Linked DNA regions of Schizosaccharomyces pombe. Changing the gene in region 1 together with any one later gene gives a genetic interaction. Each region holds a gene or a part of one and is shown in the gene's direction. Other genes may lie near its edges.

Evidence for each region.
Region 2: of sgo1 (region 1) and sgo2, changing one enhances a phenotype caused by changing the other (phenotypic enhancement), as found in Schizosaccharomyces pombe (one study listed by BioGRID).
Region 3: of sgo1 (region 1) and moa1, changing one enhances a phenotype caused by changing the other (phenotypic enhancement), as found in Schizosaccharomyces pombe (2 studies listed by BioGRID).
Region 4: of sgo1 (region 1) and rec14, changing one enhances a phenotype caused by changing the other (phenotypic enhancement), as found in Schizosaccharomyces pombe (one study listed by BioGRID).

Annotation. Positions count from the first base shown.
Region 1 is NC_003423.3:965,711-973,243, reverse strand, and holds sgo1 (shugoshin Sgo1), read left to right. Parts: upstream 1-4,476; coding exon 4,477-4,577; exon of another isoform or gene 4,578-4,639; coding exon 4,640-5,498; 3' UTR 5,499-5,508; downstream 5,509-7,533. Other genes in the region: nucleoporin, WD repeat Nup131, read left to right, coding at 1-195; serine/threonine protein kinase (CK1 family) Cki2, read left to right, coding at 796-921, 974-1,043, 1,111-1,259, 1,325-2,287; SPOM_SPBP35G2.04C (uncharacterized protein), read left to right, coding at 3,210-3,280, 3,373-3,793, 3,979-4,236; poteasome interacting protein Txc1, read right to left, coding at 5,910-6,533.
Region 2 is NC_003424.3:3,710,453-3,719,642, forward strand, and holds sgo2 (shugoshin Sgo2), read left to right. Parts: upstream 1-3,689; 5' UTR 3,690-3,734; coding exon 3,735-3,771; exon of another isoform or gene 3,772-3,809; coding exon 3,810-3,849; exon of another isoform or gene 3,850-3,899; coding exon 3,900-4,132; exon of another isoform or gene 4,133-4,175; coding exon 4,176-4,243; exon of another isoform or gene 4,244-4,295; coding exon 4,296-5,861; 3' UTR 5,862-6,133; downstream 6,134-9,190. Other genes in the region: protein kinase domain and HEAT repeat protein Ppk3, read left to right, coding at 1,094-1,219, 1,269-1,409, 1,461-1,562, 1,615-2,475, 2,516-2,644, 2,695-2,867, 2,927-3,308; bud6 (actin-interacting protein 3), read left to right, coding at 6,354-9,190. UniProt on the Schizosaccharomyces pombe protein: Involved in chromosome cohesion during mitosis and meiosis by preventing premature dissociation of cohesin complex from centromeres after prophase, when most of cohesin complex dissociates from chromosomes arms.
Region 3 is NC_003424.3:3,728,016-3,735,056, reverse strand, and holds moa1 (meikin), read left to right. Parts: upstream 1-6,022; coding exon 6,023-6,541; downstream 6,542-7,041. Other genes in the region: GMP synthase Gua2, read left to right, coding at 1-1,320; fub1 (PI31 proteasome inhibitor domain-containing protein), read right to left, coding at 1,817-2,614; glutaredoxin Grx2, read right to left, coding at 3,076-3,164, 3,249-3,317, 3,365-3,385, 3,633-3,786; NatA N-acetyltransferase complex catalytic subunit Naa10, read right to left, coding at 4,066-4,153, 4,357-4,413, 4,461-4,563, 4,879-5,073, 5,160-5,250; retromer complex subunit Vps29, read right to left, coding at 6,953-7,041. UniProt on the Schizosaccharomyces pombe protein: Plays an important role in chromosome segregation during meiosis I by allowing meiotic rec8 to establish cohesion at the centromeric central core and thereby promote the side-by-side structure of kinetochores at meiosis I.
Region 4 is NC_003423.3:2,785,133-2,793,152, forward strand, and holds rec14 (Ski complex WD repeat subunit Ski8), read left to right. Parts: upstream 1-1,762; 5' UTR 1,763-1,845; coding exon 1,846-2,134; exon of another isoform or gene 2,135-2,187; coding exon 2,188-2,807; 3' UTR 2,808-3,274; downstream 3,275-8,020. Other genes in the region: inositol phosphosphingolipid phospholipase C Css1, read right to left, coding at 1-419; protein Gem7, read left to right, coding at 3,338-3,613; H2O2 scavenger glutathione peroxidase Gpx1, read right to left, coding at 3,939-4,415; gamma-tubulin Gtb1, read left to right, coding at 6,338-6,386, 6,449-6,561, 6,611-6,664, 6,734-7,210, 7,255-7,719, 7,770-7,885, 7,944-8,010. UniProt on the Schizosaccharomyces pombe protein: Required for formation of the rec12-mediated double-strand breaks (DSBs) that initiate meiotic recombination.

The DNA of each region.
Region 1 (7,533 bases):
CACGACGAAAGTAAACATTACTTGAAATCGGAAAAAAATTTTTTGCAAAGTGTATATTCTTCACTTTCTGAGTCGCAAGTGGAAGATTATCAAATGGAGCTTTTTCGTGAAAAGCAAATTTTCTCAGTACTATGTAAAGATAGAGAGTTATACATTCTGATTCCGAAACTTCTGGACGTAGCAACAAAACAATGAAATGAAATTTTGCTATATATTACTTTACATTTCCTCAGTAATCGATAAACACCTGTTTAAACCTAGTACTACTTATGTTTGTATAATCTATCGTATAGCCTCAGCTCCGACAACTCCGTTTTTACGATGGTAGATGCTAGATAATCACTGGTTAGAATATTTACGGCTTAAAATAATTAAATTTTTTTATTATAGATTCTTGATTTATTATGATGATTGCGCCTTCGGGGCTTTTTCCCTGTCCTGGATAGCCTCACCCTTACGTTGGAAATTAAGCTAAGGCCTAGTGTGTTGCATCCAAGTACACCTTACAACTAACGTCCACTAAAACACTCAAACCACATAATCATTTGTTAGTCGAAAGAAAGCCTGTAACTTCTATTAAATTATAGTAATTGGTTTTCTAAATTTTGTTGTTTTTGGTCGGCTACTGAATCGCAATTGGACTTCAATCTCTGTGGTGAATGCAGTGAAAACAAACTGAGATTTGTGTGGCATTTGTTAGTGAGGCTACAAATTGACTACATAAAAACTGCATAGTCCTTGCAATAAAAAAAATTTTATCTGTTCGGTCAATTCCTTGTGACAGGGTTATTTATCATGAATTCCCAAACGAGCGTAGTAGGGGTTCACTATCGCGTGGGTCGTAAAATAGGTGAGGGATCGTTTGGTGTTATTTTCGATGGGATGAATCTTTTGAATAACCAACTTATTGCTATAAAATTTGTATGTTCTTTGTTAGGATGAGTATATGGACAATACTAACAATGGACGTTAGGAACCCAAAAAGTCGGAGGCACCTCAGCTCCGTGATGAATACAGAACTTATAAATTACTAGTTGGAAATGGTATGTTTTTATTTTGCTACCCAAAACATATGGTCAAGACTTTGGTACTAACCGTATTTGCAAATAGCTGGCATTCCTAATGTTTACTATTTCGGGCAGGAAGGACTACATAATATCCTTGTTATTGATTTACTGGGACCTAGTTTAGAGGACCTATTTGAATGGTGCGGTCGTCGATTCAGTGTCAAAACGGTGGCTATGACGGCGAAACAGATGGTAAGTTTCCTAAGTTGTTCCTATAAGGTTTTCAATTTGTTTAAATTTTCTCTGACATTTCAAAGCTTTCCAGAGTTCAGACGATTCATGAAAAAAACCTTGTTTATAGAGACATCAAACCCGATAATTTCCTAATAGGCCGACCTTCCTCTCGAAATGCAAACATGGTATATATGGTTGATTTTGGTATGGCCAAATATTACCGTGATCCCAAAACCAAGCAACATATACCATATAGTGAACGTAAAAGCCTCTCGGGGACTGCGAGATATATGAGTATAAACACGCATCTTGGACGTGAACAATCCCGTCGCGATGACTTAGAATCGTTGGGACACGTCTTTATGTATTTTTTGAGGGGAAGTTTACCTTGGCAAGGATTGAAAGCTGCCAACAATAAGCACAAATACGAAAAGATTAGTGAAAAGAAGCAATCTACCTCCATTAGTGAGCTTTGTGCTGGATTTCCTAATGAATTCAGTAAATACATGACTTATGTGCGTTCGTTAGAATTTGATGAAGAACCGGATTATGCGTTTTTACAAGAGTTATTTGATGATGTACTTCGAGCAAATGGTGATACGAATGATGGGGTTTATGATTGGATGTTATTGAATGACGGTAAAGGTTGGGAGTCAAGCTCTTCTCATTTTTCTGTTGTTGCTATGAAGCGACGAAAGAATTACCTTGGCTTAAATGTTGTTCAAAATGATGATTCCAGAAAAAAGAACAGTACTTTGCAAACACAGAACATGCGATTTAAATCCTCATATGGGGTGAGAGGTCCTAGAAATTACTCATCGTTCGATGCGTTGCCGAGCAAAAACGCTCCATTGGTGCGTCAAGAACAGTCTGCTTCTAAAAAAACAATTTATGCTCATTCTTCTAGAGGTTACGATAGGGTTCGACCTATGTATGTATCTCAGCCCTCGAATAATGCAGTCGGAGTAAATCATCCTAACGATAATTCTGATTCGGAAGCAAAAGGAGGATTTTTTGATATGATATGCTGTCGTTGCTTTTCTTAGTTTCGAAGCTTCAACTATTGTTAGAGTCACTCACTTTCTTAACTTAAATAAGTGTTGTTCTACTATGCGGTAGATATGCTTTCACAATATCAATCATTTGATGATTTGGTTTTCAGAGTACGGGATAAATGGTTCATCTTTTTTTAATATTAATTTGAGAAACGCTGTATAGCGTCTTTGAGCGGGTGCTTAAATCAAATTCTTTAATTATTTCGATTGCAAATTTGCTGGCACTAGCCTACTTTGCTGGTTCTCGTTTAATCTTTTAATGTTGCTTTCCTTTAACATAACTCAATATTGTCTTAAAACTGACATTGTACTATTGTAGTAAATAATATATACATACACATATATAACCAAACCATATGTATTCTAGGTACTAACAATTGGTAAAATGACAACGGAAGCTAATTCGTTTTCAATTACAAATAAATAGAATAAAAGAAAGGAATTCTTTTTATACTGATTCGTGTAATATATTTTTTAGCTGGACATTCAAAAAATAAACTATACGTGTCTTAAAGTATTTGAACTGGACAAATGCCATATGATTTATTGGAAACTAGGTAATTTCTTTTGAGTAATGGTAAATCCCTTTTTAGTAAAGGAAACAATCAGCAACAAATAAAGAAAAAATTTTGACTTATTGGGTTATAATTACTGCAGCGTATACCTAATATGCTGTATACGACCTCTTCAAAAACTAACGCTAAAATCTGTCAAACCATAGTATGTAATTTTTATTTTTTTTTCTCTATGGCGTAGATATAATTTCGTATCAAGACTGTAGACTTGAAGTTTTAACCCAAGTTTTATCAGGTGTTAAATAGATCTCCCTTTTCTAACTTCTTAGTGCGTGCACATGCATGTGCATGTGTGTTAAACGATTTGAGTCTAAAATTGACAAGAGCGGCTTCGAAATATGATATCTAATAGCTCCATTGAGGATAGAATTAATAAAAATGAAGCATATATAGCCAAGTTTTTTGAAATGTGTGTGTAATTATAAGAATTTCTGTGTTTGTCGCCTGAAGTTTTAAAATTTAAAGTGAATGATTTATGAGTTTACTTACTAACTTTATTAGATTTTCTAAAAATGATAAAATTCGCTTCCATGGAGTCTCACTTGACCGAAAAGCACTTGACTCGTTTATGGTTAGAAACAATTTTAAAAAAAGGTTCGTATCTGGTATTAACCTACCCATTTTAATACGATTACATTTTTATAAGAAACTCTTTACCATTTTATGGCTAACAGTTAGAACGGTCGCTTTGTTATCTCATGCTAGAAACATACAATGTCTAATTCAGGAATCCGATGGCGATGCTAAAGACGTTGCTCGTTCCATTTATATTACTACGGCTGAGTTTCGGAATTATTTGTTGACTGAAAAAGGGTTTTACGTTACGACCAGGAGCATTTCACATTTTCGAGCAATATTAGACAGCATAAGATACCCTTTTGGAAAAGACCATGCTAGCAAGAACATGGAGCTTTTACCTATAGTAAGTTTTACATAAATTTTAAGCGGACTACTATGTAAGGGATCTTATCCAAAAGACGTATCTGCAATTTTTAGGGTTGATAATGTTATACCTTTGCATGTAGTTAAATTCAACGTTCGTTGATATAATATGCCAATGTTTAACACGTTTTCTTAATGATGCATACTAACCGACTACTTACTTAGACTTACGATCTCAGTTTTTGTACTGTTTTTCATGGTTATCTCACCAGTATACTGGAAGCTTATGAATTCTTTAGAGGTGTTTTCAAAAAGTATAAAGCTCCCTTGTCCTCTAACTTTATAGCAATAGGAAAGACCACGGACGAATCTAATTTCTCACAATTGCATCATTATTTCCAAAAGTTTGATGAAAGAATTCGTCGAATATTACATTTAATCTCTCAGGAGTTGGATGGATATTGTCGGATAGCGAAGCAGTAATTAATTTTATGTTCTTTTTATCAATTTTTATTCAGGATATGGGCTGCATTAAGTCGTACAACCATCTTTCATCTAATTTATTATATACTAATTTACATTGATTTGGCAAGTTCCTTAAAGAAAAGAGCCTTTCTCAATATGACAAGACTTTAGTTTGCGATTGTTTACCTTACACTTAACAGGTTTGTTTACATCAGCAAGTCCTTAATTGCTTTTCGCAAAAAAAGCTTTAAAAAAGCTATGAACTTTCAATTTATAAATTCAAATATAAACAATGAAGATAAATTGCCGATGGAGTCGTTGAAAAAGAAATTTTTAAAACAAAATCGTGAAATTATAAAGTAAGGTCAAAGTACACCATTTTTGAATCCCTTGTGGTAAATAATAAACATCTAACTTTCAGAATAAATACTCAGCTTTCTATAAAAATTAGAGAATCTGAAAACGAAATTCAAGATTTGATACAAGAAAATTTCACTTTGAAAAGTTATTTGGTTAAACTTGAAGCTCGATTTCGCAATCAATCTCAAACTGAGGACTTGTTAAAAAACTTCTTTCCTGAGATACAAACCATTCACAAAAAGATTTCACAAGTGCAAAGTTTACTGAAGATTATAGAGAAAAAGTGTTCATCAGATTTCCTCGAAGCGAATGTAAAAAGTCAATTTACAACCTGTGAAAATAAAGATTCGAAAGAAGATTATCAGATTTTGCATAATAAACGCTTGGAGTATGTATCATTTAATGATGAACTTAAAAGTCTCGAAACAGGGCAACCATTGTATTGTTTTCAAGATTTCCAAAAAAAAGTCCATGGTCCTCCGGCTCTATCTGAAAAACCTGGAAAATGTATATTAAAAGATAAAACCAATGCCCACGTAAACAAAATACCACAAGATGAGGTGAATTACTCATTGCCGCAAAAAAATATCACCATCTTTTCAAAGGAATTAAAAGAAAACGAATTTGAATCCATCAACGAGGGCGAAACTGAAGAAGAAAAGGCTAAAACATCAAATGTTTGTGTTTGTATTCCTTGTAAAAGTGCTGAACAGATAACTGACCTTAAAGGACAAGCAACCGGAGACAGCTCCCCATGTGATTTTGAAGAATCTCAACCAAGGATTAATGGACGTGAAAAACTAAGACGATCAGTCAAAGTGATAAACTATGCAATACCCAGTTTGCGAACTAAACTACGACGAGACTTTGACTTACCATCTGATAGAAAACGCAAACGACATCCCAGAGGCAAAGCATAAATTATATTGAGGTCACATTGTTAAATATTTTCACATTTATAGCACAGCTAATTTATAATTTAATCTACTGCAAGCAACATTTAAATTCAAGAGAAAAACAAAAAATAATAGAGGAAGAAAAAAAGAACCTAATCAAGGCTCATTTCTTTTACATAAACACATAATTAATCGGCCAATAAATACAAACCAACATTTAAACATAAGCTAAAAAAGTATGGAGACTTAGCCATTTAAGAAAAAGAAAAGAAAAAGGGCGTTAGATATTCTTTAAATAACCGTCATTAAAAAAAATCCAAATCAAAGCGTATTCGTATCGTTTCATATATATTTTTTATTTTGCTTTGGGTAAAACAAAAATCTCAAATAAGAGAGGAAAAAACCAAAAGGAAGGAATCTAAACTTCCCGGGAGCTTAATAGTAAGAACGGAAAACCTCCTCTTGGTTAACTTTGGGATGATCTGAAGGTCTAGGAGTAGCTTCGTAAATGGTTACAACAGGATCACCCTTGAAGGGAACAAAAGAACCACGAAGACCAATGTAGGCGATTTGTGTAGGATCATCAGAACCGTCGCTTTTGGTGAAGAAGATATTGAGATTTTGAAGGTTTTGATAGAGACGAGTCTTAACAGGAAACTCGAAGATATGGCTTCCTTCAAAAGTCAAGGGAAATTCAAATGTTTCAGTGGCTTGGACATCACCGATTGTGTCAAAATCCAAGTCGGTACGATTGGGAAAAAGTGAAAAGGAGTGTGGAGCGGTTTCATTAGGAAAAATGCGAACCAAAATTGATTTTAGTGTTGCCGCACCTGCAAACGGTACCTGAAACAAGAGTTGGTCATCAGCATCACTTTCTACGATATCAGTGTCATCATAACGAAGGTCCCAAGGTTTGAAGACGAGTTTTCCGGAATCTGGTACAGCTTCATTCAGCGTAACAATTGATTCCTTTCGGATGCAAGAATACAAGGTATCATTTGGACCAGACTCAAACGGATGTTCATCACAGTCAGCGGAACAATGGTGAGGGCCAGACATTTAGTACAAACTTCTAAGGAAATCGTTAAAAATGCAAGACTAGGCGAGTTGATAGGTGAATAAATAAACGGTAAACTCGCTAACAAAAAGTAAAAGGGAAAGTTATTTGCGAGCACACTAAGACGTAAGACCGACACTCGGAAGCAAATACTCAAACAAAACAACTAATAGGAAGAAAACCAAAAGCGGAAAAATATGGCGAAAAAGCCTCCCGAGACCAGAAGTACGTTATGCGTTAAAATATTTTTCTTAGAAGCTTTACTAGTCTTCAGCAAAAGAAAAACAAAAATGGAATCAAAATCAGAATTCAAAACTGAAAAGAAAGAATATAAAAGTAGTTTTTTAACGATGAATTATTTTATTGCTTTTTAAAAAATTTTGATTTTGAGACAATAACCGAAAACTCACTTTTGTACCAAAGAAACGTTGACAGTATAAGCAAACAACCTCCTTACTGACTTTTAAACACCAACTTGAAAATATTCGATGAATAGTATGAATACCAGAATTTTAAAAAATAAATAAAAGAAAATCTATACATAAATATAAAGGGGCCTTTTTGTTTTTTTTTTGGTTTTCTCGCAAAAAAAAGTTATTCAGTCGTAAATTTCTACGTGGTAGATGAAAGAAAGTGTAGAAATTTCAACGTTAAATTAGCGAGACTTTTGTAGCACTGTATGAGGAACAGAATTTCAAGGCATACGAACAACTAAGCTAAAAGGCCCATGAAAAAGACAACACCAAAGTTCTTCCTTGGTAACATTGTTTCTATCCAGGCGGGTAGGATGTGGGCCGTGTGGCGCTCATTGTAACAATATATATGTATAGGATTTTGATAAAAACCGGTTGCTTGAACATGCAAGAATAATGAACGGTGACACGTGACAAAGTTACAGCGCAGAAATACGGTGACAACCAAAGCAAGACCAAGGGAAAAGGTTCGCTATAGATGTGAAACAAGTCATGGAAAGAAGGGTGGGGGAGGGCAAGCCAAGGCTGG
Region 2 (9,190 bases), on another chromosome or scaffold:
ATTTTCAATATGATATCGTAATAAAACCGATATATTGCTAGAATGTTTGTAGCTCAGATTATCATTTATAAATAGGCGAAATGTCATTCTGTCTCATCAAGCTTACCCAAGTACATGCCATTAAGCTTTTAAAAATAACCGGATAATAGGGATCACATTCATGAAATACTTCAGCAAAAATCCTCATAGTTAATCATACTAGCGGCGGCTGTTTAATTTTTTCGATTAACCAACAGACAAACAAAGCACATGTTTAAGACAATTTTGGTTTTCTTACAAAAATATTTGATCGTGCCAAGACTCGAACTTGGGACCGTCTGCGAACTGTAAATGTTAAGCAGAAATTATAACCATCTAAACCACACGACCATGGATTATTCATTCAACACATAAAATATATCTAAACGGATTCTTAAATATATATATTGATAAAAATGATTATTTGTTATTTAATATCTACCTAGGAATTTGAAGTTCTTGGCTAGCATATTACCTGCAATTAATTACTATGTGAGTTTCCTTAAATATAGCCGACCAAATGACAATATATTGGGATCCAAATTTTACCCTCAATAAAATAATTCTGAGATCACACTTTTAAATTAATACAACATACGCTTCTTTTCCACACGGTAAACAAGATAACTAGTTGCTTGGCAAATTCAGCATATATTTTCGTCAAATCGAACAACACGTTGTAGAACAGCCATCTTGCTTTTGTTTATTAAGGCGGTATTTTTCCTCTACCTTTTTAGCAGTGGGATTAAAGTACTGTATAAGTAAATAGGGAAATATTATATGAAGTTAGAATCTCTCACTTACTTCATTTCAATTTATGGCATTTAAGCATTTACAAAGAGTGCTCCAGTACAAAAATATCTCAAACCAACATTCAAAAAAACTGCAAAACTAACGTCGTCTTTGTAAACCTTAAGTAGCTGTAAATAATCCAATTTTGCTTCTTAATCCGTACCCATCCCCTCAAAACACTTTTACAGGTTAGCTTGCGTGGGACAACAACCTCCACACTGCGGCATCAATACTCGATGGTAATCGACTAAAAGAGGTTGATCCCTTACTACACTTTAAAATAATGGATTTTATAAAATCAGCAGCTTCTTTTATTGCAAAAGCAGGTTCTCAATTCCCATATGACTTAAATGAGAAAATCCCTCTTTCTTCTAATTCTGTATGGACACTACAAACGGGATCAATTAGAGTAAGAGACAACGCTTTTCTTTATTCTAGTACTTACAATTTTAATGTAGGAGTCTGCCCAGCCGTGTAGCGTTTTCTCTATTTCTCTGTCAACTCATCCTGAATGGGCTGAACTTGCTGACCGAGCTTGTGAGACAATGAAGACCCTTCGTCATCCTTGTATAATCAAATATCTAAGTACTTATAAAAGCGTAAGTCTAATCTAAGCCTTTACATATTTTTCCTATTTACTAATAGTTCAGTCCACTCACTTGTACATTGCAACGGAAACTGTAAGACCTGTCACAACTGAACTGAATGAACTATCTGCGGAAATAAAAACTTACGGCCTTTGGAGGGTTTCGGTATGTAATTTGAGTTCAAAATGTGGATTAAAACTAATTTAAACGTGTTTAGGCTGCATTGTCATTTCTCAATGATAAAAATATTGTTCATGGAAACCTTCAAATGTCTTCTGTTTATCTTAATAGTGCAGATGAATGGATAATAGGCGACTTTTTCTTAGCAGGTGATTCACCACAATTTATAAAGGATAATCATGACAAAATTCTGAACTGGAGTCGGTTGGTTCCGTTTGAAATTCAGTCTTCAACATTAAATAGTGCTTCATTCATTTACTTGGATTCTTATGAATTGGGAAAGTTCATTTCTCATCTTTATAATGGAACGCCAGGGGACTTATCTCAGCGTGGAAACATTCCAGCCAATATATTTGTTTCTGCAAAAAAACTGTTGAATGTGGAAGGAAAGCAAAAGTTATTAGCTTCAGAATTTCTAAAACTTGGCGAGCGTCCTGGGGGGTTTTTTCGTACACATTTGATTACGTTATATGAACTTTTGTCCGAGGTTCGAATAAACGAAGAGGAAGATAGAGTGAAATTAAAACAACTTCTTTCGTCAAAGCTAGAAGTAATTCCTAAAAACTATATACAAAAGGTTGTATTAAACATCCTCTTTCTACTATTATCGATTGACACCCATTCGGACGTCGTTGAGCTTCTATTCAAATGTGCTCAAATTGTAAAAGGAAGACCGGATATAGAAAAAGACTTTGGAGTACCGTTATTGTCTCTTTTGAAACAACAAAGCGTTCCCATACGAGGCTTGCTACTTTCCGGAATCATTAACAATCCCGACGTGCTACCAAAGAATATATATGAAGACACTAGCTTTTCAGTTTTCGCGAACCTTGTGCGCTCCAATTCTCCCACCTTAAAAGAACATGCTATTGTTGTTTTTTCCATTATAGCACCAAAAGTAAGCCATCTTATCTTACAAATTGCTAATTAGTATACAGCTTTCGAAGAAAACATTGAATAATGAACTACTACGAAGCTTAGCGGTTGTCCAAAATGACCAACATCCTACTTTACGTACCAACAGTACCATTTGTCTAGGTAAAATTGCTGAATATTTAGATGCCAGCGTAAGACTAAGAAGAACTAAACGTTAGGACTTTATTTTTAACAGATTTAGGTGCGAAAACCCGTTTTAGCTGCTGCTTTATCACGTTCTCTTAAAGACCCATTTGTTCCTGCTAGAGAGGCAGCCTTAAAAGTACTCCTCTCAGTTCAAAATTACTTTGATACAAAGGATGTGGCCATCAAACTTTTCCCATCGGTGGTGCCATTACTAATTGATGAAAACGAGTAAGATTTTTTTGAACCTGTATACCACTTAGGAATTACTAACTTTTTGACGTTATTAGAGGAATACGAAGAACAGCTGAGGATGTCACTGACCAATTTTTGAGCCGTATAAAAAACTTTAATTTAGGGGAAAAAGAAAATGTTTCCGCACCGGCAAAATTTAATGGTTCTTTTTGGTCCAAATTTATTCATTCATCTTCTGCTTCTCCTTCGCCTTCTATCGATATGAAAAAGGAGTCGCTTGAGTTAAAAAATGATACCACTGAAATAAAAGAAAAAAAAAATTCAAAAAGTAGAGTTGTTGGAAACACTGAAAACTCTAAGGATGAATTCAATAATCCTCTTTTTGAAACAGAGGAACAGATAGACGAATCTTGGATGGAAAACTGGAATGACGAAGAGGAAACAGAAAATAACGTAGAGGAAAGTTGGGGGTTATAATTTGATTGAATTTAATTAATAATTTTTCGTGGTCAAGATTAATTCACGACTAAATCACATGTCGACTAAGTACTCCATGTACTACTCGTTTTGACATATTTCAATCAAGCTTGATTTTTAATAATTAATATTTTTAATAGCTAATTATTTTTCTCTTTGAACATTTATTAATACCACTGAAAGGATTAGTGAATGGTAGTTCTTTCTTTAGTTATCTATCTATTCGTAAATTCAAAGTATAGTAAATGTAAAAGGATTTTAATGTTCTTTTCAAAGAGTGTATCATTAGTAGTCAAATAATTCGTACTTCGACTATCCAGCACCTCTACACCTTGTTGATAATGATACTGCTGTACAGCCGCGTTTAAGTACTAAACCTCCACCGGGAACGTGGTCAATGAAGTACATCGGGATTTTCTATTTATAATGTCGAAAGCATCTCTTTCCCCGAACGTAGAAGACTGTACGTGATACTTATATTAATCTCAACTGATGAATTAGTGAAAAAAAAGCAAATTCGACAGTATAAGGAAATTATACGGTACGCATACATTTTTGTTGGAATTGAATAATTAATTAACACATACAAAGAATAAGCAAGGCACAATCAATTAGAATTAAAGAATTGCAGTTAGAAAATGAACGGTTGCTTTCGGAAAATATCGATTTGAGGACTACAGCGATAAACTTGGAAGAGCAACTCGAAACCGTGCAAAACGAAAACGAAGAAAACAAAACAAAGTTAGCTGCATTACTTAATCGATTTCATGAAGAAACAGATAATTTTTTATCAAAATTAAGTCTTTGTCAGCAAGAAATACAAGGTACGTGTTTGAATTCATATCGTTTTTAGCTAATTGAACACAGACACCTTCAAACCAGTGGAGGCTAACTTAGCTTACGATGTCGATACGGATTCTGAAGACCTTGACGAGGTAAGTTGAATCGTATTATGTTTTTCAGATATGTTTATCTAACGTCTGAAAGGAATCCGTCGTGAAAGATACCGAAGAAATAATTGAGCAAGCTCAGCATGATGTTTCCTTACGAAATTTAAGTGGAATAGAGGATGAAAATATAATTGATGACGGAGAAACTGCTATAAATGAACAAAAAAAAAGAGAAGCTAATGTTTTTTCCGACACGCAATCAGCACCTCAGCTAAAATCCGGCAAAGCCCTCCCAGCTGATTTTGAAAATCCTTACAATCTATCCAATTCGAAACCTGTAAATAATAATAATGAAGATAGAGTTGAAGCGGTTACTTCTGAAAATAAATCTATCGATTCTGCTCCTCAGGAAAAAAATCATGAATACGAAATCGTTAGTCCAAAATCATTATCCAACAAAATTAATAATCAAGCAGCTGCACAAAGAAGAACCGAAGAAGATAATGCAAATGGAGTTGCTCAAGAAGAAAATGAGGGTTCACAAGAAGCTCATTTTCATAGCAGAATACAATCTGATACAGTAATACAAAGTACACCCACTAAACGGAAATGGGACGTTGACATTCAAAATAAACAAATTAATCTGGCTTCTGCAGCTACCAATGTTACCGGTTATGTATCGGAGACCGATAGTCGCCCCAATCGCGCAAACTCTTTGGATTCTGCTGTCCTTCTTGTGCAATCTTCAAATAAAAGTAACCGAAATGGGCATCATATTTCAGATCCTAATTTAAATAGCTCCATATCGTTGAAGTTTGCGCCTGAAGATACTGCGCATAATTCATTAACTTCACAAGAGAATGTTGGGCCTCAGGTTACGACGACTTCTCTGTCAAATATGACTGTTGCTGAATCTCCTCGTACAGACACTCCAAGGGAAATAAACGGGTTAGTAGACTCTTCTGTCACTAATGGGAACGAAAAATTTTCTGTAGAAATAATGAATGACTCTAACAAAATTGGACTGAATCCTAAATCTTTTACCGACGAAGAGCGGGAAATTTTAACACTTTTTCGAAATCCTCCCATGAGACTGTCAAGTGAACCTCCATCTTCAAATGGATTTTCAATAGCCCATCCCAATAATTCTCCGTTACGTCCGCCATCGCTACAAGGAATATTGAATGCTGAAGATCGACCTTACGAAATTGAGCCGTCACGTAGCTCCTTTGCTACCAACGATACGGGCTCCTATAATAATTTGGAACTTCTGTCATCTGTAACGAATTTGAAATCCCCTAATGAGAACGATCGTGTGACGAAAACTCAGTCGCGAAGAGAAACAAAAGTGAAAAGGCGAAGAAAAGCTCGGATTCAAGAAACTTCTGAAGAAAGTACAGTAGTCAATGAGCCAAATGAAAAACCTGATGGAAGGAGCCGAAGGGAACGGAAAAAGGTTAATTACGCTTTGCCTGGATTAAGGACGAAATTAAGACGGAATTTCGATTTACCTTCAGATCATGTAAAAGCTAAAAAAACGAGACGTGCTCCTAAGAACTCTGAGAATGATTCAGCTACCAAAACAGAAACCGCAAACATTACTTCTGAAGCACCCACTACTTCAGAAGTAACCCTTGAAAACTCCGAAACCCTTAATTTGTAATATTATGTAATTAAATACCTTTCGACATCGTTTAGTTGGTTCAGATTTTTTAAGTGGAGGTATGCGTCAATTTGAAATAAAAAGTCAATATTTTGGGAGTTAACCTTTGGTATTTCATATTACTTCTTTCTTTGTTTATTCACATTTTGTTCTTGTCATTAACGTTATGTACAAATATATGGTTTGGTTAGTTAAATACAATAAACAGGTGTGTAAATATATTATAAAATTACTTAGCAATCCTCACAAATTCAATTTACTATGTACCTTAGCACATTCATCAAGTAGTCCATTTCTAGTGTACCTCGATCGCCCTCGGTGGAAGTACTAACCTACGCAACTGAGTCTAATAAGTCAATATTCTTATGTTTTGTATATAACAAACCTAATTGGTTTTGTGTTTTCTCTTATGTTTATTGTTTTAAGTTTAAGTTGAACTTTCAATCCTTTTTTTGCGATTAGGATCATTGCTTTACTCATCTATTGGGACCAATGTTTAATAACGGCGATAATATGTCTCGTGAACGTTTTTCTTCCAATCATTCAATGCAAAGACAAAAGACTGAATCTCGAGCAAATTTTTCTCGAAGATTAGTCCCTTCCGACTCAAATCGGAAGCCTGTACCTAATGGCGCGTCCAACAGCCCTTTGTCAAGAGATGCAGCGTCTCATTTAATTAGTACAATCGAGACATCGATAATGAAGCTTTTAGTTGTAACAAAGGAGCTTCTTGAAAGCTTAACAAACTGGAGCAAAGGTACAGTTAATGATAGTGCTGTTTCATCCGTTTATGTTACTCTAATAGGGGAATTCCTTCAGACAACCAAGTCCTTTCATGAAGCTGGTATTGAAACTGCAGATTTAAATGATTTTCCGCTAGAACTCAGATCAGTCCTAGAGCAAACACTGGAAAAAACACCATCTTCTGATGCTTTGGAGACCAATCTTCCTAACGTAAGGGAGCTGGTTATGCACCTCCTACAAAGCTTGAAGTATAAGCAATCTCTGGTTAAATCCAGATTAAATCAATCTAGGTCAAATTTGCCTCAAATGACCCGTGAAGCGAATGATAACGATGTTAATCGCCGTAATAGTCGTGGTTCTTCCCAAGGAAGCATATCATCATTTAGAAATCCTGATTCGAGAAAGCAATATGAAGAAACTACGAGTGCCTCATTAAGTGCTCCTGGAGCCTTTGATGCATTGAAGCAGACAAATGCTCTCGAACGCCGAGCTAGCAAACGACTGTCACACATGGTAAAAGACCAGCAAAACAATGAGGGATCTTCTCAGAATTTGAGGAATATCACTGTTGAATCTGTCAGAGGCTTTCTTCGTGATTCCTCAAAGCCAGACAATATAATGGACTCACCGTCTCCCAAAGTATCTAAAAGGCCATCTATCGTTAGACAAGATAGTCATGATTCAAATAAGCTTTCAAGAAGACCTACAATAAATACAAGTTTTGATAGAAAGTTTTCACCAAAACTTACTAGAACACCTTCTTTGACTAAATCATTAGATCCTGGAACACCCACTTCTTTAAAAAGCCCTTCTCTTCGAAAAAGCCCCAGTTCTTTCGTACAAAAGGATGTATACTCTCGTTCTAACTCTTTAAGAATAAGTCAAGCAAATCGAAGTAATGTTTTTCCGGGTGCAACTGATGTAACTAGAAGCGTGTCTGATCATAGAATATTAAGTAGCTCAACCATCAATGACGGAGAAGTCGCTCCGCCACTTCCCCAACGATCAAGGACTATCTCTTCCCCTAATAGCCCATTATCTGCTACAGTCCTTCCATCTAGTACTCCGATTTTATTGCCCAGAGGTCGTTCTTCAACACTATCTGTTAACAAAAAACAATTTAATGCAGATGATGGTTCTACGTTGAATTCGCCGAATTCCATTCGTGAAACTGAAGAATATGCTGCTTCGCCAAAATTGGAAGATATCGCTGATGAGGTTGAGACGGATGCCACAAGTCAGAGGGAACTCCTCGAAAGACAAATTCAAAAAGCAGAATCCTCAGAAGATACCTCTGAAATTGAAAGCTTACAAGGTAAACTTTCATTACCCCAAGTTTCATCTACTCAACAGGAAATACAACCTAGCAGTAGCGTCCCTGAAGCAGCTTCAAATGAAATTGCAGAAAAAGAACCTGCTGTTACTGCAATTGAATCAATAACTGAAAGAAAGGAAGAAGCCCCGGTGATATCTAGTTCTGAAAAAATTGAATCTGGTACGAGTATAAGCACTTCAGATACAAAAGGAGGTTTAGCAAATTTTGAAAACGATTCCTTAGAAGAGCTGGAAAGACTTATACAACAAAACAATGCTGAACAAGATGAACCATCTTATAAATTCCATAAATATGAATATTCATCCGAAGAGTCTGGTTCTGAAGATGAGTTTAAGAGCGAGAAAGATACAAAAGGCTATGTAATCTCTAACGATGACTCGACACAGGTTGAAGAGGATTCAGAAGATAAATCGACTCCAAATACAGGCGCATCTGCCAAATTAATTAACGACCCTTCATCTACTATCACTGTATCTGATGTCTACCCTAAGAAACCTGCCTCTCCTGTTGAAATAACGGAGCCGCCATCCTCGGCTCTTGTATCTGCTACTTCTCCTACTACTAATGTTCCCATCGTTCCCGAGGCCGTCCACCTATCTACCGCTTTTTCTACTGCTCCTGTATCTACGATTGTTTCCAATATTTCTCCTTTACCTACCGTTGCTCCACCTAATGTTTCAGGGTCTCCAAGTGAAACTCCTATTTCAAAGCCGGAAAAGGTTCCTGTTGTTTCTCAGACTGAAAAGGCACTCCCAAAACCGTTGGGGGTAGATACGGAAAAATACTATTTTTTGCGTTACAATAACCAGACCCGAAAAGTCAAGGTTGAAAGTCCTCTATCAAACGCAAATGAGCTGGGCGAACTTTTCAGTAATGTATATAAAATTTCATTTAGTGGCGATTCTTATGAACTAAATATTGAAGACCCCGATACTAAGATAAGTTATCTGTTAGAAGATCTCTCGGACCTTAAATACAAGTCACTAGTTTCTTTTATGTTTAAAGAGCAAGATGCTAACAAGAAGAGGGAAGATTTCCATTCCGGTGAGGTCTCTGCTATTCAACATTCATCTGCACAAAACACTCTGGATGATCATGTTAATACTACCACTCATGAAAGTCCTTCTTCTGCTTTTACAGAAATTCTTGAGCGCTTGAAAGCTATTGAGCAAAATATTTCAACTAATCACACCAACGACTCAGCTGCACTCAAATCGTCAGAAGACCATTCAAAATTGGCAAATAACTT
Region 3 (7,041 bases), on another chromosome or scaffold:
GAAATTGCATGGTTGAATGGACGTTGTGTTGAACCAGGTATCGAGAGAGAGTACGGTCCAGCTACAGTTAGTATGGAACCTGAAATCAAAACCGAGGTCTTCAAAAGCTTTTTTAACTCCATGCCAAAAGAATTTGAGGTTTGGATGTCTCATGGCGACAGACTAAGCGCTCTTCCCAATGGCTATGAAACAATTGGACGCACCAAGAATTCTCCTTTCGCTGTCATTGCACATGTTACAAAGCCCATCATTGGTTTGCAATTCCATCCTGAAGTTACTCACACTCCATTAGGTTTGCAACTTATTAAGAACTTTGCCATTGAAATCTGCCATGCTAAGCCCAACTGGAGTATGGAAAATTTCGTTGATAAAGAAATTCTTCGTATTCGTAAAATGATTGGACCAAGTGATCATGTCATTGGTGCTGTTTCTGGTGGTGTAGATTCAACAGTTGCTTCAAAGGTTCTGAAAGAGGCTATTGGAGATCGGTTCCATGCCATTATGGTTGACAATGGCTTGCTGCGTCTTAATGAAGCAGAGATTGTTCGTGAAACCCTCAATAAGCATTTAGGAATTCAATTAACAGTAGTTGATGCTTCTGAAGAGTTCATTGGAAAACTGAAAGGTGTTACTGATCCCGAGAAGAAGCGAAAGATCATTGGTAACACGTTTATTCATGTTTTTGAACGAGAGGCTGAGCGAATTGTTAAAGAAACCAACGGTAAAGTTGAATACTTATTGCAGGGAACATTATATCCTGATGTCATAGAAAGTATTTCTTTCAAGGGCCCTTCTCAGACAATCAAAACCCACCATAATGTTGGCGGTCTTTTGAAGGACATGAAGCTCAAACTTATTGAACCCCTTCGTGAGCTCTTCAAAGACGAAGTTCGTGCTTTGGGTGAATTACTTGGTATTGAACATAGCCTTGTCTGGCGTCATCCTTTCCCAGGCCCTGGTTTGGGCATTCGTATCCTTGGCGAAGTTAATGCTGCTCAGCTTGAAATTGCGCGTAAAGCCGACCACATTTTTATTACTGAAATTCGTAACCACGGCTATTATGATAAAATTTCTCAAGCTTTCGCTGCTCTTTTACCGGTAAAGGCTGTCGGTGTTATGGGTGACAAGCGTACTCATGAACAAGTAATTGCTCTTCGTGCTATTACCACTTCTGATTTTATGACAGCTGATTGGTACGATGGGTTTAGCATTAAGTTTTTGAAGTTGGTCAGCTCCCGTATTTGCAACGAAGTGTCTGGTGTTAATCGTGTATTGTATGACATTAGCAGTAAGCCTCCGGCAACTGTCGAAATGGAGTAATAATGTTCCTAACAGCATACGGTACCTTTTGTTACATCTTTTATACTTTTGGTTAGAAATTTGTTTAGTTCTTGGATTCTAGTGGCAGGTAGTAGTAAATAAGTTTAGATGAGGTTAAATAATAAACATCTAACAGCTTAAAAAATTTATGAGTAGGCATGTGCCCGAGTGTATGTTTTGAAATTATCAATTCGGTGCTAAGACCGTCCTATTGAAAATAAATACTAGACGTTTTCATTAGGTCCTGCTGGTTTCATTCTTAACACTTGTATAAATGCGCTCTTTAGAAGAGGAACTTACTAAACTTTGTACGCAAATAGTAGAAAACTCAATTATTTAAAGAAGTAGAGATATCCAGTAGTATGCGTTTATTCCGAAATTGAGCATTAAAATTCACATATTAAGAAAAAAAAATCAAAACCAAAATCTTTTACTATTATTTAAATAACATATCCTATCATCTAACATTTCTTGTAATACTTATAAAGTGACCAATTTACATAAACATATCGGATGAACCAGGTGGCATGAAGTCATCATTGTCAGGTTCACCGGGAAATTGAGATCGCGGGCCTTTAAAAGGAAATTGAGGTTTCCTCTCATCCCTGCCGAATCCACGAAAATCACCAGGGCCTGTGGGATCGTAACGAGCTCCTGGTGGTATATTAGTTCGGTTTGCTGAAGCTTGTTCATTTCGAGACCTGTTTTCAGGATGAAAAATAGGATGATTGAATGTAGGAATCATACCTCCATCGTTGCCCATATCAGATCCTCCGATTCCTGCTGGATACAAATCACTTGCTCCTATAGAAGGAAACATTGGTTGTGAGCCAGGCATTGCACCAAATGGTCCAGCAAACCCAAATGGAGCTCTGCTCTTCTCCTGATATGATTCATAATTTAACTCATTAGCCGAGGTATCTTTAGCGGTACGTGCAGCATGTTCAGCAAGCCGATTATCTGTATCAACTGGACAAACCTCTGCAACTAAAGATTCCAAATTCCAAGGCTGATCATCATCTAAACGGAAAATCCTTGTAGCTGTGATATTTGATGAAGTATTAGCACACAAAATATAAATCCATTTATTCCAAAATATTAAACGAGTAGAAACATTCTGAGACTCATTTACAATGTAGTTGAATTCACTGTCTTCAGTTAAGCTTTCAGTGACTTCTTGCAAAACATCTCCGTTTCGTAATTTACAGTTTTTAAATATCGCCCCAGTGTTTAGCATGGATTTATGGCATTTTTGTTGGAAGCGTAAACGATCGTCGGAAGTCGGGTTATTCATGATCAGTGAAAAATAATATAAATAAATATATACGAAAAACCAATTGTATTACTTGGGTTCAGTGAACAAAGGAAAAGTACATCACTTTGTACGTACTGTGTGTGTGTCTTCGTGAGGTCGCTTCTGTTGTGTCATTTATATTACCAAGTGGCAATCAATGCATGGCGACTACTAGAGGTGATGAGATTGAAGTCAAATGATTTCACTATTAAACTTGGTATATAGTAAGTAGAAAAGTAATCTGGCTAAATAACTTTTTCCAAAAAAAAGCACACACTGTGTGTTTTGCAACTGAAGAAAACTTGCTGTTCAAAGTGAGCAGGAAACTAGAAACTGATTGAAGATAAAGATACCTTTAATGTTATAATAGAATTGTTTTGCAACTGCACATTCAGTTCGTTATCTCGTTTCCCTAAAAAATAATATTGTAAAGTCGTTCGCTATATAAATCCTAAAGATAATCATAAAATTGAAGATTTGTTTTCCTTAAGCTCTGCTATCATCTTCGTCAAAGTGCCTGAGCTACGAAGTTTGTTCAAATCGGAATTGCCTTTATATAATGTATTAGTAATAAACAACAGAGAAAAACCAACGAGAATATTAATGGTCAAGGAAAACAAATTTGGGTTCATACCTCCAATGAATTGGTTGCGAAAGAATATGCTGGGTACTGTAGACTGTTTGGTCTTTTCATGTAAATAAGCTGCTCAGGTAAGCATATGATAAAATCAGTTTGTTAACTAAACACACCTTGGATGTCAGATCCATTTTCTAGTGTAACATCAAGTTAGTTAAAAAGGATGAAAAGCAGAACAAAAAACTTGAAATGTTTCGCTATTTCTCAAGATCATGGAAGGAAACAAAAATTTTCGTAGTTTCATTACACAATTATGAGGTTTCGAAAACCCAATTAGACTATTATTTCATATACTTAATTTATGTAGACATAACTCAAGAAACTTTACAATCGATCAACTGAATCTTCAGCTCTTAAACAAATGAAGAATACCATACTTACCTATTTTATCTAACTCATAAGCCTTATACGGAGCAGAGTACTTTGTAAGAGTATTTTTGGCTGCTTTGCAGAAAGGACAGAACGATTTACTAAAGACAGTAACCGGATTGTTTGAGATCGCCTTTTCAACAAAAGCTTTTGCTATAGAAGTCATTTCAGCTTAAATAGGTATTCGTCTAAAAATGCAGTGGATATTGGTGACAAGTAATACAGTATGACTATCGAGGTGTTGGGCTACCTAACACCAAACGACACGATTAGGCAGTTAGATGTGATAAACAAAAACTCGAAATTACAAGAGTTATTTCGAAATATATTTAGTACACCAGTAAGCGAGTACAATCAAATGTTAAATACGCTATCACGAAGTTATAACTGCAGTATCGTACACTACACCCTAATTCACTAATTAGAAATAACGGTATATATTTTATTAGTTGTTCAATGCAAGAGATTGAACGGTTTTTGCTAGTTCGTCGTTGGTTTCTGGTGTATCGAATTTCAAAGTAGAAAAATCTTTGCTAAAAATTGTTAGTAACCTAGATAGTTGTGATGACGTTGAACAGTCATATATTGTCTGAAACAACGTAGGTAATTATACAGAAGTTGACCAAACTAAAGAAAGAACGATTGTCACAAAGATTGTATATAGTTTTTGGAAAGAATACTCATTAAACGATCCATGCAACCATCCCCAACCTAGTTTTTACAACAAAGTACTTACTGCATAGCATAAGCATCTTCACCATCAGCATAATATTTGCTTTCAATCCCTTGAACGCTAAAATAATGTTAGAATCTCTTCAATGATGGCGAGTAAAAACATACTCAAATTGCAAAGTATCACGATAAAGATGAATAGCAGCTCTGTTGCTTTTACGAACATGAAGACTCATATATTTGGCGCCATAAACTTCGACCATGGCTCTTTCTGTTCATTTAAGTAGTTAGTATCTTTTACTTTTTTTAAAAAAATTTTGTTTAAGGAATGGACCGAAAATATCAAGGAATCAGCAGGAAGGAAACATTGTCGAAAACAAATTAGGTAAAAAAAATGAATTGTTGCAAGGAAAAAACCAACTCACCAAATGAACAATTCAAAGTATTAGCAGACCAAGTCTTGCACAAAATAAAATATATACATATTGGAATAATCATCGATAACAACTGCAAAAAAGCTTAAGATTTCCCTCTAGCTCCTCCTTGGATATATCCGTAATCTACTTCGCTCTCAATTAACACTTACGACTTTGAACCATGAGACGTTTAGCAAGTCCTAGATGACGATAGGAGCGCATTACTGAGACACTTGTGATATGACCATGAGGGATCCCATCCTTAGGCTCTTCTTCCATTTTTGCAAGAACATATCCTACGACACGTCCTTTCGGATCAGTAGCAACATAAGAAAGCATAGGCCAAGAAATAGCATGATAAAGGTCTACATTAAATTAGAAAATAAGAATCATTGTTTTAATACTGGAAGTTCATTGCCGTGCAGCAAGAATTACAATGAATTGAACTTACAATATTTTAACTGATAATTTTCAGGCAAGTTATGTAAGTTGCAGTTCTGCATCCCAGTAAGGTCACTTATACGAGCTGGCCGAATATCCATCTTGCCAATCGTTTAATTTTTAGCAATATCTATGATTTTTGTTTGTTAGTGGTTGGAATCAAATTTCCAGCATACCATATTTTAAGAAAGCGCAGTGAATGTAAAACGAAATTCAGGGAATGCAAAGCAACTACTGCAAAGCTTTTAGAAATGATAAGATTCATTTGATGTTAATATTATCTGTCAAGTATTTTAACGTCAAATATTTACTGCTTTGCTAAAAAAACTATGTTTTTTGGAGACTCACAATGTTCGACGTTAAGCTCCTTTTAAGTTACAAGCCGTTTAGTACACATTGCATAACCAAATTTCTAATTACTTAATGTTGCGTTTCCTAAGTTGTTTTGATTTTCAATGCAGATGATGAGAAATCCTTATTATAAATAGACAATGATGTTTACGATGGATTGCACACTTAAAGACATTAAATCAAAACTTTATATTAATTAGCCATTAATTATATAATCTAAGTTAATACTTATAATCACCATAACATATTTTGTTTACTGTGGAATCAAAAAGGATTAGCGATGCTTGATTGAATCCTTTATTATCTTAAAGTCACACTACCTTGGTTTTCCTTTAAAAGTTTTAACAGCAGCCTTGTGGTTTCACTTAGGCTAAGTAAACTCAACGAAAAAACATTAAGATTTGTTATTCGTAAATTCAGCTAGTAGACCTCGAACATTAGGTTTTCCCATTGGTAAAAATGTAAACAAAACCGCATTAATCATATAAAACATTAAGCGAAAAAAAACAATAGATTGCATTTATGGCTATAAATAATGAAAACGAATTAGAGTATAAATTAATAAAAAAAAACAAGAATCCTAAAATATCAAATTCAAAAAAAAAGAATTCGACACGTCCAGCTTTACAAGACAAAACTAATCAAACATTACCAATTCATCAAAATCAAGCCTTTTCAAACATTCTTCCATCTGATTTTTCAATAATTAAGACACCTGAGACAAAAACTGCTGACGATTTCCCCGTAAATGGTTACGAAGGCTTAAACATTTTAAAATTTGATCTCGAGTTATTTTACAAACTTAAACCTGTAGCAACGTCGACCCCGAAGTCTTGCATGAGGACGGGCTCCAATTTATTTTTAAATGAAACTGTTAAACATGTTCCAGATGAACGGTTAGTTTCAAACATCAAGAATACCCAAACAAAGGACTCTATCACAAGAGATTCTGCGTATTATCACAGAAAAACTATGACAGAAAGCATAATCAAAACACTCGCTGCATTTGATGCTGAGGTTGATGAGATTATATTGTTTTAAATCTCTAACTGACACTGGAATATAATCGTACTTTTCAAGTACTAACGCATCTATTTTTCATATGATATATTTATTAAAAAAGATTTACAAACCTGCTTTACAAATCAACCTTGACTACGATTTTATTTATACATATCGATCAGGACAAACGATAGCATGTTCAACAATATTTGACGCGAAAGGCCGACAAAGAAAAGTGGATAAAGTCAGCGCATAAATTTAACCTTCAAACATTTCTTTCATTTTAAAAAAGCAAGTAAGGAAAGCACATACTTTTCGGTAGTCTACATACTCGGTAAATTAAGATACGGATTATGCTATAATAAACAGAAAAACATCTAATTATCATTTAACACTTCTTTACGATGAAAAGACCGCATATTCCGTGGTTCAATCGTATATTTCATGAGATTATTCTGGTTTTCTGTACTGCATTTTTTCAACCCGGACCTCTCCATCAAAAATCCTATAAACATAAAGTATTAAAACTGCTCCTTGAA
Region 4 (8,020 bases), 1.8 Mb from region 1:
GCATGCAAATGAGTATTGAACAAAGAGATGATCCTTCCAGAGGGATGTTGTAAACTAGCTGTAGCGACACCCTTTCCAACATACCAATCACCTCTCCAAAAAGCTTGAGGACGACCATTAAGTGGATACTTGTTCATAGAAGATTCAATGATAGGAAACTTCGAAAACATGGCAAGTCCAGCACCCATAGCAGCACTATGGAAAAACCTAGAATAGACAAGATTGCAGCTCACCAAGTTACGAATTTCCTGAAAATCGTAAATCGACCATACTTCTTGAAGAAGAACAATGTCATAATCGCACTTCGCAAGTTTTTCGCCAACAGCTTTCAAACGTTCAGTACGGTACTTGGAAACAAAGCGCAATCCCCAACAATTAAACGAGAGAACACGCAGTTCAGGGGCCTTTTCAACACTCATTGTTGCGAGGTTGGAATTAAAAAGAGATAAAGAAGGACGGAGTTATTGCCGTCAAATGGAACAGTAAAACGAATAGTTTATAATTTGTATGTAAAGAAATAATCTAACAAAGTTTATTAGCTTAAGAAGAAAGAGAATTTAAGAAAAAAATGGATAAAGAGACGAAATTGCTGAATTAGTATAAAAACAAACAAAAAGCACCATCGTGGTCTTAAACCAAGCCAATGTCATTAACAGCATGAATTATAAAGACTCTGTCTCTTTTCTTCCACGAAAGCAGAAGACCAGCAATTTTCGACAAAAAGCTCATAACAGTATTAAAGAAGTGTTTTGAGACATTAAAATACCAATTGCAACAATTACAGCCTCAATGCATTTCATTCATAACTTACCTGTAACTAAGCGACAATATGTGCTTATTAGAACACGTATTATTAAGAAATCAGGAAATTTCTGAATATATACAAGAGGAAAGGTGGCGTGTTAAGAAAGGAAACAAGAGCCTTGTGCTTAACTTAAGCCGTTATTGTACACAGAACTGCGTGATTTTTTACTAATGTCAGATGACTCCATTTCCGATGTGTTAAAGTTATTTATGTAACGCGTTATATTTCGGTAAATCTGTAAACATTGGAGTAGAAGTTATAAATACAACACTATGTGAACTTGAGTAAACATCCATATTCCAGTGTTAAAAATTGGTTTATTTTTTATTTAGTATCTTTTAAAAATCAATATTAAAGATAGTCTTTCTTCCCTTCTGAATTGTGGCGTTTTTAAAAATCGTTTTGTAAGTGTGTTTAAGTCATTCGAAAAAAATGGTATGAATAAACAAGTTGTTCCAAATTGCATAATGAAATGATTAGGTTATCTACTAAAATAATTTATTCAAATTTACTTTACCTATTGCAAGAATCACGAAGCGTTATTTATCGTTTCTCTTGACTTGCTACACTAGACGAGTAAGATAAAGGGAAAAAAGTAATCTTAAATTTTAGTAATTGCTGTTATCTATATCATATAAATTAATCGACAATTATGGGCGCCAGGTCTTTTTATTTCCTGGATGTTAACATTTGATATCTGCTCATCTTTATTTGATCAAACTTCGAATTGTTCAAATTTGAAAAACCTACTATTGCCAAAAGTTTAAACAATTTAATTCAGTGTCACGGTTAACAACTAATAATCTCACCTTCTCATTTCTACCTACAGAAAAGAATTATTTTCTTTCATTCATACTTATAAATTCATCTTTTCACTAACATGTTTAGGGTATGTGCATAGACCGTGTATATCTAAGGAGAACGCAACCACAGTAAACTAAGTCCTGCTAGTCACAGGTTTAAGTATTATAAAGTATTGGAAAGCGCCAGCATTTTAATTACTAATTTTGTTGTATTATTTTCCTTATTTATTAGATACTATGAGGAAAGAGTATCTCGTTAGCCATATAGAAGAAAATGCACATCAAGCAGACATTTACTCTCTCAATGTAGTCGCAGGCAATCTTTGGTCGGCTTCTGGGGATTCCAAAATAAAAAAATGGTCTATAGGTGATGCTGAGCATAGCTTAGTTGAAGAAATAGATACCCCTCATAAACTTGGCGTTCATCATCTAGCAACTAGCTTGGATGAAAACGTCGTCGTTTCTTGCGGATTTGGACAGGATGTTTATGTTTGGAATCCTGAAACTAATGAATTTCGAGACTTGGGTACGAATTACTTTACGAAGAAGCTATGCATTTCTCTAACGAATATGATTTAGGTAATAATGCTCAACATCCCAGCGAATGCTGGTCTTCTTGCATTAGCCCTGATGGACAAACGATTGCTTTCACATCTGTAGACGGGCGTATTGCTGTCTGGGACAATCCAAGTGATTGCAAAATTTCCGAGTTAGATACCAAAGGTAAATTCGGTCTTTGTATAGACTATTCTCCCAATGGAAGATTTATCGTTTCTGGTCATCAAACTGGGCAGCTTTTCCTTATAAGTACAGAAACAGGACGCTTGTTTCATGTACTATCGGGCCACACTTCCCCTGTACGATCAGTGGCGTTCTCTCCTGGTTCAACACTTTTAGCTGCTGCCGGGGATTCTAAAATGATTACTATCTACGACGTTTTATCAGGGGATCAAGTCGGCCAACTTCGTGGTCATGCTGCATGGATTTTTGCAGTAGCTTTCAATCCCGTAGGTGATTTGTTGCTTTCGGCTGATGTTGAAGGAAAAATCAAAATCTGGGATATTGACACCATGGAATGTATTAGTACACAAAGTGAAACGGATGGAGCTATTTGGGCTGTGGCATGGTATAAAAATGGGTTCATCGTCGCAGGTGCTGATAAAAGTATTCGTTGGTATAGAGCTGCTGCTACAGAATAATTGCACTCTTGTGCTTTCTTAATGACCGATGGAAAAGTTTTTAAAAAATAGCAAAAAATTAAGGAGTTTCTAATATTTGGATTAATTATGAATATCAACACTTTACTCGTAAAACGAAAGGATCTTGAAATGGATTATTTTAGGGTAACGCATTTTTCTTTTCACTTTCATCATTACAAGTATGTTTGTATCATTGTTTACTTTCGTTCGATACGCTTTTACTTTTTATATAAATTATCTAAGCATAAATTCCTAAGGAAATACGAATCTCATTCAAAGTTTCCATTGTATTTAAAACATGAGTTGACTCATAATATCTATAAAAGTTTATTTTTTATTTTATAGGTAATGGTTAGCTTAGTTTCTTATGTGTTTTAACTGTATTACATTACGTGCCTAGAAAGTTTACTCTCACATACGATAACGACGCAAACCGTTTAAAACCATGCACATACTGCATATGTTATAATCTTTACTTTGAAGACTTTTTGTAATTCAAGATTACTTTTTGTTGATAAATTTTCACACTAATGGCAGAAAATAATAAAAAGTCTACTGCTTACATCCAGAGGATGCGAACACTAAAATTTTATCAAAAAATGGCTTCTGCGCGAATCCCGATCACTGTGTACCTCCACGATCAACGAGAAGTAAAAGCAGAATTTGGAGCGATAGACAGTAGTGAGTCAAAGTTGGCAGTTTCCAATCTACAAACCGATTGGGGCGTTATTAACAGAGCGGTGATACGAACAGGAGACGTCGTGGGCATCGAATACAATTTGGTGCAGGAAGAAGGAGAACTTTGATGATACATTACGATTTTCAGATACAGAAGCCTTAACAGCCATGGTATTCAATTCAGTGTTTACAGATGAGAAAGCGTGATGTACATAGTATGCATAGTTGTATAGAAGCGCAACATAATTAATGTTATTTATTTAGGAGGAATATTAAAAATAATATCGTAATATTGTATATTTTGCTGGATTAAAGCAAATAACTTTTGCGTCAAACGGATGGTAAATCGTGAAGTTCATTAAACTTCCAAAGGATCAGAAGAATTAGTGTGCCACTGAAATTAAAAGCGGGAAGAAATGATCGCTTACACTGCAAATTTGTTCCAGTATTTTTTTAAAGGACACTCTCGATATCGTTTTCGAGATGTTCAGGCTTGCTAATACTGGAATAGCGTTCGATGACTTGACCTTGACGATTGACCAAGAACTTTTCAAAATTCCACTTAATACGCTCAAGGCCAAGTTGCTTCTTTTGGCTCTTCAAGAATTGATAAACAGGGTCGACGTTGTCGCCATTAACATTGATCTTGGCCAGTACAGGGAAGGTTACGCCATAGTTCTTTTGGCAAAATTGAGCGATTTCTTCGTCAGAACCGGGTTCTTGGTTTCCAAATTGATTGCAAGGGAATCCAAGGATGATAAATCCTCTATCCTTGTATTTCTGATACAACGCCTCAAGACCTTTGTATTGAGGAGTGAATCCACATTTGCTCGCTGTATTGACAACAAGGACCACTTTACCCTTCAAGTTGCTGAAAGGAAAAGGATTTCCATCCTTGTCCTTAGGAGCCAAGTCGTAGAAATGAGACATTTTAACTTACAAAACTCAATACTAATAGAATGAGTAGGTTGAAAGTAAGGTGTAGCGCGGCTGACCGTCCTACTTATGTTTCCAGCTGACCTTATTTCATAATGACATCAGACCTTAGTTTGGGTCAACACGATCTTTTAACAAGAGAAATTTACGTAAAATTAATAAAAATTCCAAGGAAGAAAAGTCGGATCGCATTTATCAAAAGAAATCTTATTTATTTAATCAGTCTCACATTCTTTTTCCTTTGTTTGCTGCTTTTAAAGTTAAAAAAAGGATATGTCGCAGTATACTGCCATTGTCTTTTGTCAACATACCACCAAAATGACAGAAATTTTTGCTGCTATTTAGTAAAAATATTTCAAATTTCGTATTTGTAAAGGTTATGCATAGAATGGCTGAGACTCATACTTAAACAGTATAGGTATCTAAACATTGTATGGGGCGATTGTAGCAGCAAACGATTAAGTAGTTTGCGTTAGTTACAACACCTAGTAATGGTTTGCTACCTTTTGTTTAAAATAATAGTAGACGAGATTGCCAATGGCCGATGTTGTTTATCTTAAAGTTGAAAGTGAAGCGAAACCTTTTTCTAACTTTAAGAGTGGGATTTCTTCCATCCAAAAGAATATGCACTGCAACAAGATATAGGACACAGGCAAATTATTTGACAAAAACAAGGAACCGTATAACTACTTTTTTACTTTAATCTACAAATAAATTAGTAGGATGTAGAAAAAGGTATCAGTGATAGATTATTTATGTATTATCTTAAAAGTATTGTTTTTTGCCCTTTGAAGGGCAAAAAGCAAAAAGGATCAAAATTATGCTCCAGCAGTGACTTGAACACTGGGCCTCTTGCTTACTAGGCAAGCGCTCTACCACTGAGCTACAAGAGCTAGTTGGAATCATTTGCTAAAAGGTATATATATATGCATAACTATTAAGAAATGCTCAGTATTTTTTTGAAATAGAAAATGTTGATATTCGGTTTCTATTATTAAGTTTTAAATTCCAAACATTGTAAATATGTCGTCGTTCTTTACATTCTTTTTTTAATAAATCTTGGTTTAAGTTAAAACCCAATTTTACAAGCTCGCAACTTTGTTGTTAATAAAAAAAAATGTTACACCTGCTAAATAAATATTAAAATCAAACTGTTGTTGTGTGGTATTACCTTATTGAGCTTAATTATAATTTCAGTAAAAATTTATGTTCAATTTTTTTTTTTACTTTCAATTAATTTATTTATTTATTAATTTGTAAAATATTTAGACCTTTGCCAAATAATTATTTGTTAATTTTTCATTTTCTACAATCTGTATTAATTAAGATAAAATTGTCTTCAAAAATACTTTTAGTTTTTGGAAAATCATTTGTTTCAGTGTTTGAGTATCCACATGAATTGTCTAATTTTATATCACTATTATTTTTTTATTCGAACACTCATAAATTGTGTCTATTGTGTTACTTTCAATTTTAATATTTACATTCAAAGTTGCATATATTTTTTACGAAATAATGTACTAAATGATTTAGAAATATTTAGATACGATAGTAATCAATACTAAATTTTATGACACATTCTAAATTCACTTACTTTGGCTTTCTAATTTCCTGTTAGAAAAATTGTCATTCCTAATTGAATTTTGCAGCAATGCTCGAATCAGCTCCAAGGTTGATAAATTTATAGTCAAGAAATATGTAATTATTTATAATAATCTAGTCTAGTTGACCTGGAAAATGTTTGCTTTTCTTACTACCAACCTTCTCTTATCGACCTACAGTTCACCCAAGCACAGCGAAATACCTCAAGATACCCTTCTTTTGAAAACCACCTATTTCAGCAAAAAATCTTTCGCGGTTGTACTTTTAAGTAAGAAGCAAACATCAAAGATTGTTTGCTCCTTCATTGTTTAATCATGGGCAGAGAAATCATTACGTTACAAGCTGGTCAATGTGGTAATCAAAGTATGTTCACCTATACTACTATTAATCAAATCGAAATTCTAATTACTCACAAACTTGTCTAGTTGGTTCACAATTCTGGCAACAGTTGTGTTTGGAACATGGCATTGGGCCTGATGGCACGCTAGAAAGTTTCGCAACTGAGGGTGTTGATCGAAAAGACGTTTTTTTCTACCAGGTTGGTTTATTGATACACTTTAAAGTTTCAACATGTTAACTCATTTTAGTCTGATGATACTAGATACATTCCTAGAGCCATTTTGATTGATCTGGAACCAAGAGTATGTTATCGCATCCTTTTATTAGTATTTGCTGAAATATTCAAGTGACTAATGTCCTCTTTACCTTAGGTGGTCAACAATATTCTAAGCGACACCTACGGCAGCCTTTATAATCCCGAAAATATACTTATTACCAAAAATGGAGGAGGTGCTGGCAATAATTGGGCTAATGGTTATTCGCATGCTGAGAGGATTTTTGAAGATATAATGGACATGATAGATCGTGAAGCTGATGGAAGTGATTCTCTAGAGGGTTTCTCGCTTTTACATTCTATCGCTGGTGGAACGGGTTCTGGGCTGGGCTCTTTCTTGCTTGAGAGATTAAACGATCGTTATCCCAAGAAGATTATCCAAACTTATTCAGTATTCCCTAATAGTCAATCCGTATCAGATGTTGTGGTTCAGCCTTACAACAGTCTTCTTGCATTGAAGCGACTGACATTGAATGCTGATTCTGTTGTTGTGTTGGACAATGCAGCACTTGCTCATATTGCTGCTGATCGGTTACATACTCAGAACCCTACGTTTCATCAACAAAACCAATTGGTAATTGATTTATATTAGGTCTTTTCATCAACTAACTATTCTAGGTTTCAACTGTTATGTCTGCCAGTACAACAACTTTAAGATATCCTGGCTACATGAACAACGATCTTGTCAGTATAATAGCTTCATTAATTCCAAGTCCTCGCTGTCACTTTTTACTAACCTCATACACTCCTTTTACCAATCAGCAAGTGGAAGAAGCAAAGGCCATTCGGAAAACTACCGTGCTTGATGTGATGAGAAGGTTGTTGTTGCCTAAAAACCAGATGGTTTCCGTCAATCCTAGCAAAAAGAGTTGCTTTATTAGTATTTTGGATATCATTCAAGGAGAAGCAGATCCGGCGGACGTTCACAAATCCTTGCTTCGCATAAGAGAACGACGATACGCTTCATTCATTCCTTGGGGACCAGCAAGTATACAAGTTGCACTTTCTAAAAAGTCGCCCTATATAAAAACGAACCACCGTGTTAGTGGACTTATGCTTGCAAATCACACTAGTATTGCCTCTGTATGTTTCTGCAAATTTTTTTTTGAGACATTTAATACTAATCTTTGTAGTTATTCAAGAGAACACTAGATCAATATGATCGTTTGCGGAAACGAAATGCCTTTTTAGAGCAATATAAAAAGGAGGCTATTTTCGAAGATGATCTTAACGAATTCGATTCTTCTCGGTAAGTATCTTGTCTTATAATTTCATATTTTGAGTTAATTTACTAATGTATTTGACAGCGACGTCGTTGCCGACTTGATCAATGAATACGAAGCTTGTGAAGATCCCAATTATTTATCTCTTTAAAAAATCCTTC